Linked DNA regions of Diceros bicornis minor. The protein of the gene in region 1 binds, or shares a complex with, the protein of each later gene. Links are inferred from orthologs where the notes say so. Each region holds a gene or a part of one and is shown on either strand. Other genes may lie near its edges.

The links.
Region 2: the proteins of IRF2BP2 (region 1) and ZBTB16 are in contact, whole or in part, in a crystal structure (PDB 8YTH), measured with the Homo sapiens proteins. The link is inferred for Diceros bicornis minor from reciprocal best matches to the Homo sapiens genes IRF2BP2 and ZBTB16. Residues at the interface, in NP_892017.2 of Homo sapiens: Thr516, His517, Phe518, Val519, Gln520, Pro522, Phe531, Leu557, Trp564, Ala565, Phe566, Met567, Glu570, Thr573, Ile574; in NP_001018011.1 of Homo sapiens: Arg285, Ser287, Val288, Ile289, Thr290, Ser291.
Region 3: the proteins of IRF2BP2 (region 1) and IRF2 are in contact, whole or in part, in a crystal structure (PDB 8YTG), measured with the Homo sapiens proteins. The link is inferred for Diceros bicornis minor from reciprocal best matches to the Homo sapiens genes IRF2BP2 and IRF2. Residues at the interface, in NP_892017.2 of Homo sapiens: His517, Phe518, Val519, Gln520, Pro522, Phe531, Leu557, Trp564, Ala565, Phe566, Met567, Glu570, Thr573, Ile574; in NP_002190.2 of Homo sapiens: Arg331, Ala332, Ser333, Val334, Ile335, Lys336.

Annotation. Positions count from the first base shown.
Region 1 is NC_080745.1:21,814,377-21,818,115, reverse strand, and holds the start of IRF2BP2 (interferon regulatory factor 2-binding protein 2), read right to left. Parts: upstream 2,387-3,739; 5' UTR 1,873-2,386; coding exon 825-1,872; intron 229-824; coding exon 1-228. UniProt on the Homo sapiens protein: Acts as a transcriptional corepressor in a IRF2-dependent manner; this repression is not mediated by histone deacetylase activities. Represses the NFAT1-dependent transactivation of NFAT-responsive promoters.
Region 2 is NC_080746.1:22,382,538-22,386,276, reverse strand, and holds the start of ZBTB16 (zinc finger and BTB domain-containing protein 16), read left to right. Parts: upstream 1-1,401; 5' UTR 1,402-1,628; intron 1,629-3,739. UniProt on the Homo sapiens protein: Acts as a transcriptional repressor. Transcriptional repression may be mediated through recruitment of histone deacetylases to target promoters. May play a role in myeloid maturation and in the development and/or maintenance of other differentiated tissues.
Region 3 is NC_080768.1:16,193,270-16,197,008, reverse strand, and holds the start of IRF2 (interferon regulatory factor 2), read left to right. Parts: upstream 1-868; 5' UTR 869-939; coding exon 940-1,116; intron 1,117-1,825; exon of another isoform or gene 1,826-2,032; intron 2,033-3,739. UniProt on the Homo sapiens protein: Specifically binds to the upstream regulatory region of type I IFN and IFN-inducible MHC class I genes (the interferon consensus sequence (ICS)) and represses those genes. Also acts as an activator for several genes including H4 and IL7.

The DNA.
Region 1 (3,739 bases):
CCATGGGGGACTGGCCATTCTGCGCCGCTTCAGGCGGTGTGGTCCGGTTGGAATGAGGTGAGGCAGTGGGTGGTGGTGGAGACACAAAAGAGGATGTAGGAGTAATGGGGATCTTGAGCCCTTCTGTGGATGTGGACAGCCACGGTTGTGCCTCTCCATTGATCTTAGGGGGCCCAACTTCACCTTCTGGTTCTGGAGAAGGCTTCCTTTTTCTTGCTGTTCTCGCAACTAGAAAATCAAAGAAATAAAAGAAAACAAGAGAAAATAAATGAACACGCAATAAAACATATCTTTCTTTTACTAATATGAAACAAAACTCACTAAACAATTCCTATTCTCTAAAAACTTGTACATAAAAACACACGCGAGTTTCCAGGGCACGTGCAACTTAAAACGCTTAGACTCATGAGGCTCTGAAGCAGTATACCACTTTAAAAAAAAAAAAAGCTACCGAAAATGGCACGTATGTAATCTCCTGTTTTAACACACGCATACATATACCCAGACTGAACTGTGCATACGATTGCTAACGTCCCCCAACAGGTTAAAAGGTGACTGGTGCCCTCATGCTCCCATCCAAGAATGTGCTGGGAAAGGAAAACCCTGTGTCAGTGCCTATCAGCCTAGTCTGACTCATCTCTGTTATGCTGCTTCAGCACATGAACACGTTGCCACTAAGCACTGGTTCCGCCTCAGGCAGATCAGGAAGTTGGGTGTTTGTTGTTTCTGGGCTAGAGTAGAACGGTGAATGGAAAGAGCACCCCCTCCTCTGCTCTCCGTCCCCTTGTCTCCCCTAGAGCCCCTCACTCCACAGCCGCCCCTACCTGCTTTAGACCCGTTGGCCCCGTTGGCCTCGAAACCCAACAACCTGCCTGCAGTCAGGGCCGGCTCCTTCTTAAACTTGCTCTCGAAGGGCCCCGAGTGGCCGTGCTGGTGCAGCGCCAGCAGCGTGTCGCGCACGGTCTTGGGCCTGTTGACCCAGTCCTGCTCTCCGGGCCCGCGGCCTTTGCCCACGCCCTCGGGGCCCAGCTCGGCGGCCCCGGCCGCAGTGGACAGGCTGTCGGTAGGGCCGCGGTGCGAGGGCGGCGGCGGCTGCTTCTCCTTGGCCGCCGCCTCGCGTTGCTCGTGCTCCGCGGCCGCGCTGCTCGACACAGACGCCGGCCGCTTGTGGGCGCCCAGGTCGGCGGGCTGCGCCGAGCCCAGGCCGGCGGCCGCGGCCCCCGACACGGCGGCCAGCGAGGCGGCGGCGCGGCCGCTGAGACCCAGCGCGGCGGGCAGCGGCGTAGCCGAGCCGTTCATGAGCGGCACCAGGGTGGGCGGCACGGCGTGGCCGCGCCGCGGGTTCGGACTCTGGCGGTTCAGCTCGGGCGGCTCCTCCAGCTTGGAGAAGCCGTTGGGCACCAGGATGCCGTTCACGGGCGGCGGCTGCGGCGTCGGCGGCTGGGCCAAGCCCGCGGCCGGGCGGCTGCCGCCAAAGTCGGAGCCGAGGCGCGGGGGCCGCTCGGCGGCGGCCGCCAGGGGGTAGCGCTCCAGGGCCTGCGGGCCGCGCGGGGCCGCCTCGGGGCCGCCGTGGCCGAGCTGCTGCTGCTGCTGCAGGAGGAGGTCCTTGGCCGAGAGCGGCGGCGGCTTGGCGGCGGCCGGGGCCGCGGCGCCGGGCGGGGAGCGGCCCTCCGGGAAGCAGCCGTGCGCCCGCTTGAGCTGCCGCGCCGTCTCGATGACGAACTCGACGCGGTCGGCGCCCTCGTAGTTGACGCAGCCGCGGCACACGGGCTCGGTGAAGTCCCAGATCATGGCCCAGGGCATGCGGGGCAGGTCACACAGGTAGCACGACTGCCGCCGGGACGCGGCCGCCACCGCCACCGCCGCGGCCATGTCCGAGGAGCCCGCGGCGCTGGCGGCGGAGGAGGAGGAGGAGGGGGCGCCGCCGCCCCCCGCCGGCACCACGCGCGCCCTCCTCCCCCCCCAACCCCGCGGCTCCCCCACGAGCGGCGGCGGCGGCCGCGGCCGCAGAGGCGGCGGCGGCGGCAAAGCCCGCGAAAGCTCGGCGCCCGCGCAGCGCCCCCGGTGCACCAGGGGCGGCGGGCGCGGGGCGAGGGGCTGCAGCCGCGGCAGCACGTCCCCCCGGCCGGCGCGGGCGGGCGGCGGGGCGGCGCGGCGCGGCGGGCGCGGCGGCGGAGGCTCGGCCGGGGCCGCGGCGGGCCTCCAGACCGGGGCAAAGACGGGCCGCGCGGGCGCGGGGGAGCGCAGCAGGTCGCGGCGGCGGCCGGAGCGGAGTGTGGGGCGGGGGGCGGGGAGGCCGGGGGGGCGGGGGGCGGGGGGCGGCCGCCGGGGCAGGCTCAGCCCGAGCGGCGGGGCATGCCGCGCCGGGGCGGCGGCCGGGCGGCGTGGAGCGGACCCCGGGTCGCTCCGCTGCTCTCTCACAGCTTCTGGCGTCGCCGCTCTCCAGCGCCCGCGTCAGCGCCCAGCCCGCGTCAGCGCTGCCGCCGCCGTCGCTGCTGCTGCTGCCGCCGCGACCGCTCCACTTCTACAGACTTGATTCTTCGACAGCCTCGCACGGCGCCTGCGCGGGCCCCCTCCCCTCGCGCGCGCGCCCGCCCTCCCCCGCGCCCGCCCCTCCCCCCGCGCGGAGAACGAGCGCTGCCGGGAGAGCCGGCTCCACGGCGCCCGCCCTGGGTCAGCGCCGCCCGCCCGCGCCGCGCCGGTGGCCCCGACGTGAACACGGTGCGAGAGTGGTTTGCCTTCCTCCACCCGCTCGGCGACCTCGCCTTCAGTCAGGGTTCCCTCCCCTCCAGGTGCATTTGGGCACAATCGTGTGAAAACTCATGTTTTTAAAAGCAACGCCACTTTCTAACTTGGTTCTGTCAATCTCTTGAGAAAGGGGATTTTAAATCTAGCTTGGTTCACAGTTTTGAGATTTTTTCAGTTGTATTTGAACTCTTCAGTAAGTGTTTTTACACTCGCATTTGTCTTGAGGACACATGTGCCGCCGGTCCCCTTAAGTTTTACTAACATAGGAGAGTCTGACTATGCCCAAGCTTAGGACAGCGTCCATACGCCGTTTCACGGAGCCCTTCAGGAAGGGAGCGCGAGCCCTATCGTTACAAACACCACCAAAGCTCCCTCTCAAGCCCGCTCTCACCTCCCCACAAGATCACACCCCACCCTACGGAGCAGCAACCCTCGCGGAGCCACCAACCCCTGCCGCCTTATGTAGGTCCGCTCGGCGTGCGCGTGACGTGGGCGCGGGGCCGCGGGCCCGCGTGCGCCGCCGCCGCCGAGTGCGCACGCTCCGCGCGGACGTGATTCGGCGCCGCTGGCACTGGCGGCCTCATTGAACGAATGCACATTCCAGGGATCCAGGGTCTACGGCCAGCGCGGCGGCGTCACCACGCAGGCTCCGCCCCCACCGCGGACTCTGGACGGCCAGGCCCCGCCCCTGGGGCCAAACTTGGACTGGGGATGGCGTGGGCCGCGGGCGCGAGCGGCGGCGGGGTCGGTGGCGGCCGTAGGGGTGACGAGCGGGCCGGCCTGCGGGCCGCGCTGGCAGTTGTCGCGCAGGGGCGGGCCGTTGGTCGGCGTCCAGGGCGCTGTGTGGGGCGGGAGCGGAATTGCGCCCATTGCGCGGCCCCGGCCGGGCTTAGCCCCCATTGGGTGCAAACCCGCCTGGCGCGAAGGCGGGGTGTGGCGGCAGAGCCAGCCCGGCCCGCCGCGCTCTGCCACTGTTGGCAGCCACAGACTG
Region 2 (3,739 bases), on another chromosome or scaffold:
GCCTTCCGTGGCCGGAAGCGGATTTTTGCCTCTAGTTGGCTTCTGCCACCTTCCATGACCCTTCAGTTCTCGGGGCCTGACTCTCGGTCTGGCACAGTGCCAGAGGCACGCATCGGAATGTGACTGTACGTGAGTCGGGCGGAAAACCCTTGACCCACTCGCGTCTCAGGGACAGAGTGTGGGGACTCAGAACTCTGTGCTTGAAGCCTCGCGCTGCTGAGATTGTATGACCTCCGGGGCTGACTGGCCTGAGACCCAGGGAGGGCGCTCTCCACCACCACCCTCACCCCAAAGCTCCTGGACCTTAGTCGGCTGCCATGGCCTGTGCTCAGAGGAGCGCTTCCCACCTCTTGTCCCCTACCTTCGCCAAGCTCCAGGGAAAGGGGGGAGAAAGGGACTCTCCATCACCGGAAGAGGGGCAGACTTCTGGTTGCTCTTACCCGGGTTTAGTGATCTCAACTCCACCTTCTAAAGTGGAGCGGCCAGCTGAGAGGACGAAGCACTTTTGTGGGACCTGGAGCTTCTTCAGGCTTTCACTCGCCCCCTGAAGACTTTGCGCTGACTAGGGCGCAGTTCTCAGGAACTGTTTCCAGCCAGGTTCCCTGGGGGTCAAAGTCCAGGGGATGCTCAAGACTGGGAGGGAGGAAAGTTTCTCTCAGGCTTCGACCTCGGCCTCCAGGGATCCCGACAGCTAAAACTGGGTGTCTCCCCTCGACGATAGATCCCCGCGGAGCCTCTGGCACCTGGCTCACCAGGGCCCTCGAGCTCTGCGCCTGGAGACTTCTCGCAATCCGGCTGCTCAACGCCCAGAGGCGCAGAAGACCTGGGCTTGGGCTGGGAAATTGACCTTCTAAAACCGACGTCGGGGTACAGGGGATGTAGCCCCGAGCCCGGAGAAAAAGTGAAAGGCGAGAAAACACGCACTGAATCGGGGCAAACATTTGAAGCCGGGGACCAAACTCCGCGCCTGGAGCAGCAGGAGAAAACAAACCCCGTGTCCAGGGGAAATTAAAAACCAGGGGGTTGAAGGTGGGGGCTGCTCCTCGCCCCTCACCTCCATTGCCCCCACTAAGGGTTCCAAGCCCCTGGAACTCCTCTCCACGAGCTCCTTCTTTCCTCTCCGCTTGGCCGGTAAGCGGCGGCCGCCGGCGCCCCAGCAGCAGCTAGATGTCAGGCGAAGCCCGGGGCGCGGCGCGCGGGGAAGGGAGGGGAGGGGAAAGGAGGGGGGAGTGGGGCGGGGAGCGCGCGCGGGCTTGGCCAGTGCGGGGGGTGGGCGGGCTGAGCCCAGGGACGGCGCGGGAGGGGGGAGAGAAGGGGGGCAGCTATGGGCAGGGAGCCGGGCTCGGCCGCCAGCACTAAAGATGGAGAGGCGCCGGGGCCTCGCAGGGGAGGGGGCTTGGCGTTGACGTGGGACGCGGCGGAGGCGCCGCAGCCGGTGGTGATTTGCTAACCTCACAGCAGAGAGGAGTTGAGGGCGATGAGAGCGGGTACTGCGAACTGCCGGGCGATGCCGCCGCTGCCGCCTTGATACCGAGAGCAACAGTTCCCCAGCAACACCCCTCCCCGACGCAGGCACACACCCCTCAAGAGGCACGCACACCCACCCTACAGCGCCTGGCTCGGCAGCGGTGAGTGGGATGTCGGGGAGGGGCGCACCGCTCAGCAATAGCCTTGCGCCAGGGCGCCCCAGGACTGGAGAGGTCTTGGGGGCGCGCTCGCTTCGGCCACTCGGCCGCTGGGCTTGTGCCTTATTTTATTCGGCTTGCTCCCTTCTTGCTGCTGCAGCCGTCGCCACCGCCAGTTGGGGGGGGGTCGGCTAGAAGGGGGAGCCCCGGCTGTCAGCCTAGGCGAGCTGCCTCCCCAACCCTTCCGCTCCAGGGCACGGTCGGGGTGAGAGGTAGGGGGCAGAGCGGTCTACAGTGGCTGAGGGCGCGAGCGGAGGATTGGGGATCCGGAGGCTTTGTACCACCAGGGGCCGGCAGTGGAGCCGGGGGCCGGTGGGTGCTCATGTGTATGCGGACCGGTGCGCGGGCGCGAGATAGGGTTGTGGTTTATTTGTGTGTTTATTCGCCGGTCGGCTGGGAAGCTAGAATCGGAGGATCCGAGGAGTGGATCTGGAGGCGAAGGAGAGCAGGACTGGGACTCACTTGGGTTTTGTTTCTCTTTGAAAAACGTGGTGGGCTCTTTTTTCTTGATTGGACTTGATCCCCCCGTTTTGGGGGGGAGGGGCAGCCGTGGCGTAGCTCCGGAGGGTCTCTAGGGCTCCGGGCCCTCCTCGGCTCTCGGCGGGACCGGCCGTGGCGCCGGAGCTCGCTGTGCGCTCCCGACCGCTCTCGGTGGGTGCCCCGGCTCTGCACCTGATGCGTTCGGGATGCCTTTCCCATCCTGGCGCTCCGGCAGCTCGCTCGCACAGCCCCTCGAACACTCCCGCACGCGCTCGAAATGCGCACGATCTCTCTGGCCCGCGGACCCACCAGAACGCACAGACGCGCTCGGCACCGACTCACTCGCCCGCTCCCTGAGACGTTCGCAACGTGCCTGGGGAGGCACGCCGGCTGCTGGCGCCGGAGGCCGGGGACCCTGCCCGTCACTCCCGGGAGTCACGGCCCTGGGTCGAAGAGGAAAGGCCGGCAGATCTTTTCTCGCCTTTCCTCCCACAACTCGCTGTCGGGCTTTTGTGCTTCCCCTTCGCCGCGGGGCGGGTCCGCCTCCTCGCGGCTCTCGCCAGGAGTCCAGCCAGCTCGGACTCTCGCTTTCCGCCCGGGTCTCTTTCGTTTTCCCTCTTCCCTAGCCCGGCTCCCTTTCTTTCTGCGGTCTGGCTCCCCGGGAAAAGTTGCTTCCCTAAGTTTGCTGAAGTCGTCTCCAAGTCTCTGTGGGGGTGGCTGGGAACTGGGGGTGTGTGAGAGCGCGATCGATCCCTGGAGCTCGAGCGGGTTAGCCCCGGCTTTCCCCCGCGGCGCCGGGCTGGGCGCCGCAGCCAGCGCCGGCCGGATCGTGGGCGCCGAGCCGCGGGTCGGGGGGACCGCTGACCGAGGGCACCCTGATTTCCCTCAGGACCCGAGGAGCTTGCTTTTGGGAAGGAATTGGGGTAGCCCAGCTTCCATTCTTTCGATTGCTCTCTCCTAGTTCTCCGAAACCCCGAAGTCTTCGGGAAGGCGCACGGTGGCGAGGCGCCGATGAATGGCCCTCCCATCCTTGACGGCCTCAGTCCCCACCCCAGGGTGGGCAGCAAAAGTGTCTCGATTAGCCGTCCTGTTAACCCTTTCTGCGTGGGATTTGTGGCTGTGGAGCCAATAGGGCTCCTTTTGGGGGCGGAGGCAAGCAGTGTTCCAGGAGTGAGGGAGAACCCTTGCTCTGCTTTGCTCCCAGTTCGTTTCACTGCAGTATTGGCCACAGCAAGGCAGAGGCTGGGGGTGACCTGGGCCTGGGGGTCTTTCTAACACTCTTTAAACCGAGTTTGGGCCTGCCAGAGCCCTGTTGTTGATCCCGAACAGCGCTTTGGGGAGAGGCCTTTGTCTCCCAGCCCTGTCCTCCCTTCATACTGGTTGTAACTAACACTGCAGATGCTGGTGCCAATATCACTTCTAGCGCCTCAAAGCCATGTCCAGCATCAATTGCTGCTCCTGGTCACAGGACTTGCCCACTCCTGGGAGCCTGTGGGACGCACTTGGAATTCATGTGCCCAGCATGTGCTCTCCTGGATGTAGGGGTGCATATTTCCTATGATCTCTTTCCGTAG
Region 3 (3,739 bases), on another chromosome or scaffold:
CGCGACGTGGGGAAGTGAAAATGAAATTGACTTTTCCGAGAAATGATGACAGCGGCGCTGCCTGCCAATGAACGGCGGCGGCGAACTTCCGCACCTCCGGGCCGGGCCGCGCGCGCCCTCCCTCCGCCTCCACCTCCCGGTTGCACAAGCTTGAAACAAACACTGGGGAGGAAGGGCGGAGGGAGGAGGGCGGAGGGGGGAGCGAGGGAGGGAGCGAGGGAGGGAAGCAGGAGGAGGGCGGGGGGTGGGGGGATTTCCAGCCTCGGCTCTTCGCAGTTTCCTCTCCTTGTTTTGCTTTCGATCTGGACTGTTCTCAGGCAAGCCGGGGAGTAACTTTTAGTTTTGCTCCTGCGATTATTCAACTGACGGGCTTTCATTTCCATTTCATACACCCTAGCAACACTTAAACCTTGCGGAATTGTATTGGTAGCGTGAAAAAGCACACTGAGAGGTAACATTTTTCAAATAATAGTTGTGACTGTGCGTGTGTGTTTTTCTCGAGGGCATGTTTATGAGGACCGGAGGGGAGATGTATGCGTGCGTGTCCTGATGGTTTGACACGATGTTTTGCAGACGGAAAATGCTGAGGTTCATAAATATTAATACCGATTTTTGGAGGAACAGTCGGCGCCGTTATGGATCATCTGATTTTAGGGGAAGCAGGTTCTGCTGCTGTTGCTGCTGCTACTGGGGCTGCTGAGGCTGCAGAGAGGAGGAGGAGGTAGAGAGGGAGGAGGAGGAGGAGGAGGAGGAGGTCGGTGGAGGTTTAATTTCACTTTTGGATTTGCAGATGCGGAGAGGTGGCTCCATGGACACGGACCTGCTCTGTGTGATTCTGCGCCCCAGGTGTTGTGTGTGGGGGTGCAGGTCCGCTGGAGTCGGGCCTCCTTTTTAAAACAAAATTGTCGCGGACATGTGTGTGCGTGTGTGTGTTTACAGATGCCGTCGCCACCAGATCCGAAGGAGGGGAGCGGGTCCTTCTGGGTGCCCGGCGGCGGCGCCCCTCTCCAGGCAGCCTCCAGCGTAAATAAGCAGAACCCGCTGCCCGCCGGGCTGTCTGCGCCCGCGCCCCGGCCGGGAGAGGCGCCTCCAGCCGCGGCGAAAGGAAACTTGATGGTGCGCCCCGCGGCGGTCCCAGAGCTCGCCCGCCCCTGGGGCTCGGGGAAGGGGCGCAGGCGGCGGGTGCCAGCGGCCGGAGCCGGCGGGCGGGCTCGGAGCTGGGCTGGGCGCCGGGCCTGGCCGGCACGCCCGGCTTCCTGGGGGCTGGGCCGCCGCCGCCGCTCGGGGGGGACGCCGCGTCCTCCTTCCCGCCGGCCAGCGCCCGGCCTGGCCCTGGGGCTTTGTCACTGCACTTGTCCTGGCGCGCGGGGGGCTCGGGCGGCGCGTCCGGGGAGGGCGGCGCGCCGAGGGGTCATCTGCCCCGGCCGCGGCCTAGCCGGGCGCCTCCGGGTCCCCGCGGGCGCCCCCGGGCCGGCCTGGCGCGCTGGGCCTGACCCGCCTCGGCTACGGAGCGGGCGAGGTGGGGGCGGGGAGCCTCGGGGGACCGAGCGGCGCCCTGCTGGCAGGCGTGGGGGCCGGCGTCCACCGGGGGTCCTGGGGCGCGGGCTGCCGCGGGGTGGGGACGTGAGTGCCCGCCCCGCGCCCTCTGACCCCGCTCTGGGCGCCGAGTGGCATCTGCCCGCCGGCCGAACATGGTTGGTGCAAAGCCGCGGCCGCCACTTCCTCTCCGCCTCGCCGGCCGGGCTCGCCCACCGAGCGCTGCCCGCCGCGGCCAATCGTGGCGCCCGCCCGCCTGCGGCCGCCCTCAGCGCCACGGCCTGGGCGCCGGCCCCCGAGGGGGGCTCGGAAGCCTTTCCAAGTTCGGAGGGCGCCAGGATGCCCCTCATCCTCCTGCCCAGGACGCAGTGGCATCTCCCTTAGGCCCCAGGTGTGGGTGCGTTTGCCGCGCTGACCCCCTTGCCCCGTTAGAGGCGGAGAAGGGAAGGAGGCTGGCAGCCCGAGCCGGGCGCAAAGACGGTGTTCCGGGCACCAGGTGAGGCACCCGGGTCAGTCGGTGTAGGCAGGACCCTTGGTCATCAGCTGTAAACGTGACCTCTGGGACTGGCAGTCGAGGTTGCCTTACATTGGCAGCGTGGCCTTCACCCATCTTTAACCCCATAGGATAGTCCTTGGAACTTGGGGACATTTTACCCCAAGAGGGAGGGACTCCCTCTTCAGCCTCTTCCCTCCAGTGTGGGCAGTGGGTAGTGCTCCTCGTCCTTGGTTGCGGAATAAGAAAACGCGGAGTCCTTCTAAGTGAGGAATAGTGCTGGCGTTTGCCTCCTGCCCCTGGCCTCCTTGTTGCTGTGACTCGGTCTGCTTTTGATGAATGGCTCGGGAGGGTGGAGGATAGTTACATTTCCTGTTGTGGATTTTCAGGAATCACCAAGGTTGCTGTCAAGCCTGCAGTCTTTTATTAGTTTTCAGACTGACTGCAAATAATTGGAACTTAGCAGCCTGCACTTTTTGGTGCTTGAGGGCAGGTGCAGACAGGGGTCTGGTGACAGACTGAGTATGGAAGGTGGATGGTCTTGATGTTCCACAGATGCGCGCTCCCTTACCACGACCCCGAGGGTGATCCCTGTTTAACTTCGTCGTGCACACAGATTCAGGATTCTCTAGTTTTCTCAAACTGCTCCCCTCCCCCCAATCATTCTTTTTTTGGAGAGGGAAAGGATGGAAATAGAAACCTAAAAAATCCTGGAAAAACTTGTCTTTTTTAAGGAAACTTCCGCAGATGGAATGTTTAGGACTTAATATGGCATTTCTAAGGGGTAATTTTGGAACATTGATTGATTGAGGTGGCAAAGTCCGGAATTTCACTGTAATTAGTGAATGATTATAATTTATAACTTAGCCTGTTGTGTAAGAAGTTAGATTTTGGCCTCTAGATCCCAGAGTTCTTGTCTGTTATGATTTGTAGCTGCTTCTTAATATTAAACATTTACATATTTCATTCTCAATGAGTTGTCTCTTTTTCTGCTGACCTTCAAAAGTTAGAGATAATTCCACATATTTCAGACCCACCTGTAAAAATGTCATCATAATCAAAAGTAAGGGTTTGTAGTTAAATTGGAAGCAAATTATGGCAAATGGTTGTCCTCAAGTACTGAAAACTCTATGAACTGTGGCCGCACTTTTCTCTTTCTCTGCTTTCTGAAGTTCTTTATTAGGCACATATTCAATATACCAAAGCTAGTTAAAGATGTTTAAACTTAGTAGTGAAAAATTTGAAACTTTGGTTGTTTTACATGTGATGTGCATCGATTTTCCCATGTTGCCAAGGAAAGTGTACTTTTATTCTTAGTATCATTGAGTATAAGCTGTAGTTTTCAGAGCATTTTCACACAATTTCCTTTTGATAGAGAACAGACCACTGAACTCTAAATGGGGTATCTGGGACATGGTTGCATTACATGCTTTATACCAAAAAGGTCTTGAAGCAGACAAGGGACTTTATTTATTCATTTCATAAATATTACTAGAACATTCACTATGCCCCAGACACAGTGCTGGGCTCTGAGGGTTCAACTGGGAACAGGAGGACAACTTCTCTACCCTCTGGGGAGATAGTGCATTCTAGTTGTTGAGCTGACAGTACACAACTGAAAAATAAGTTCAGTAGCTGCCTAGTGAGGTTAGTTCTATGGAAGGTGATAATAATACTTAACTGTGTATCTGATAGGGTTGCTTTTGGGAA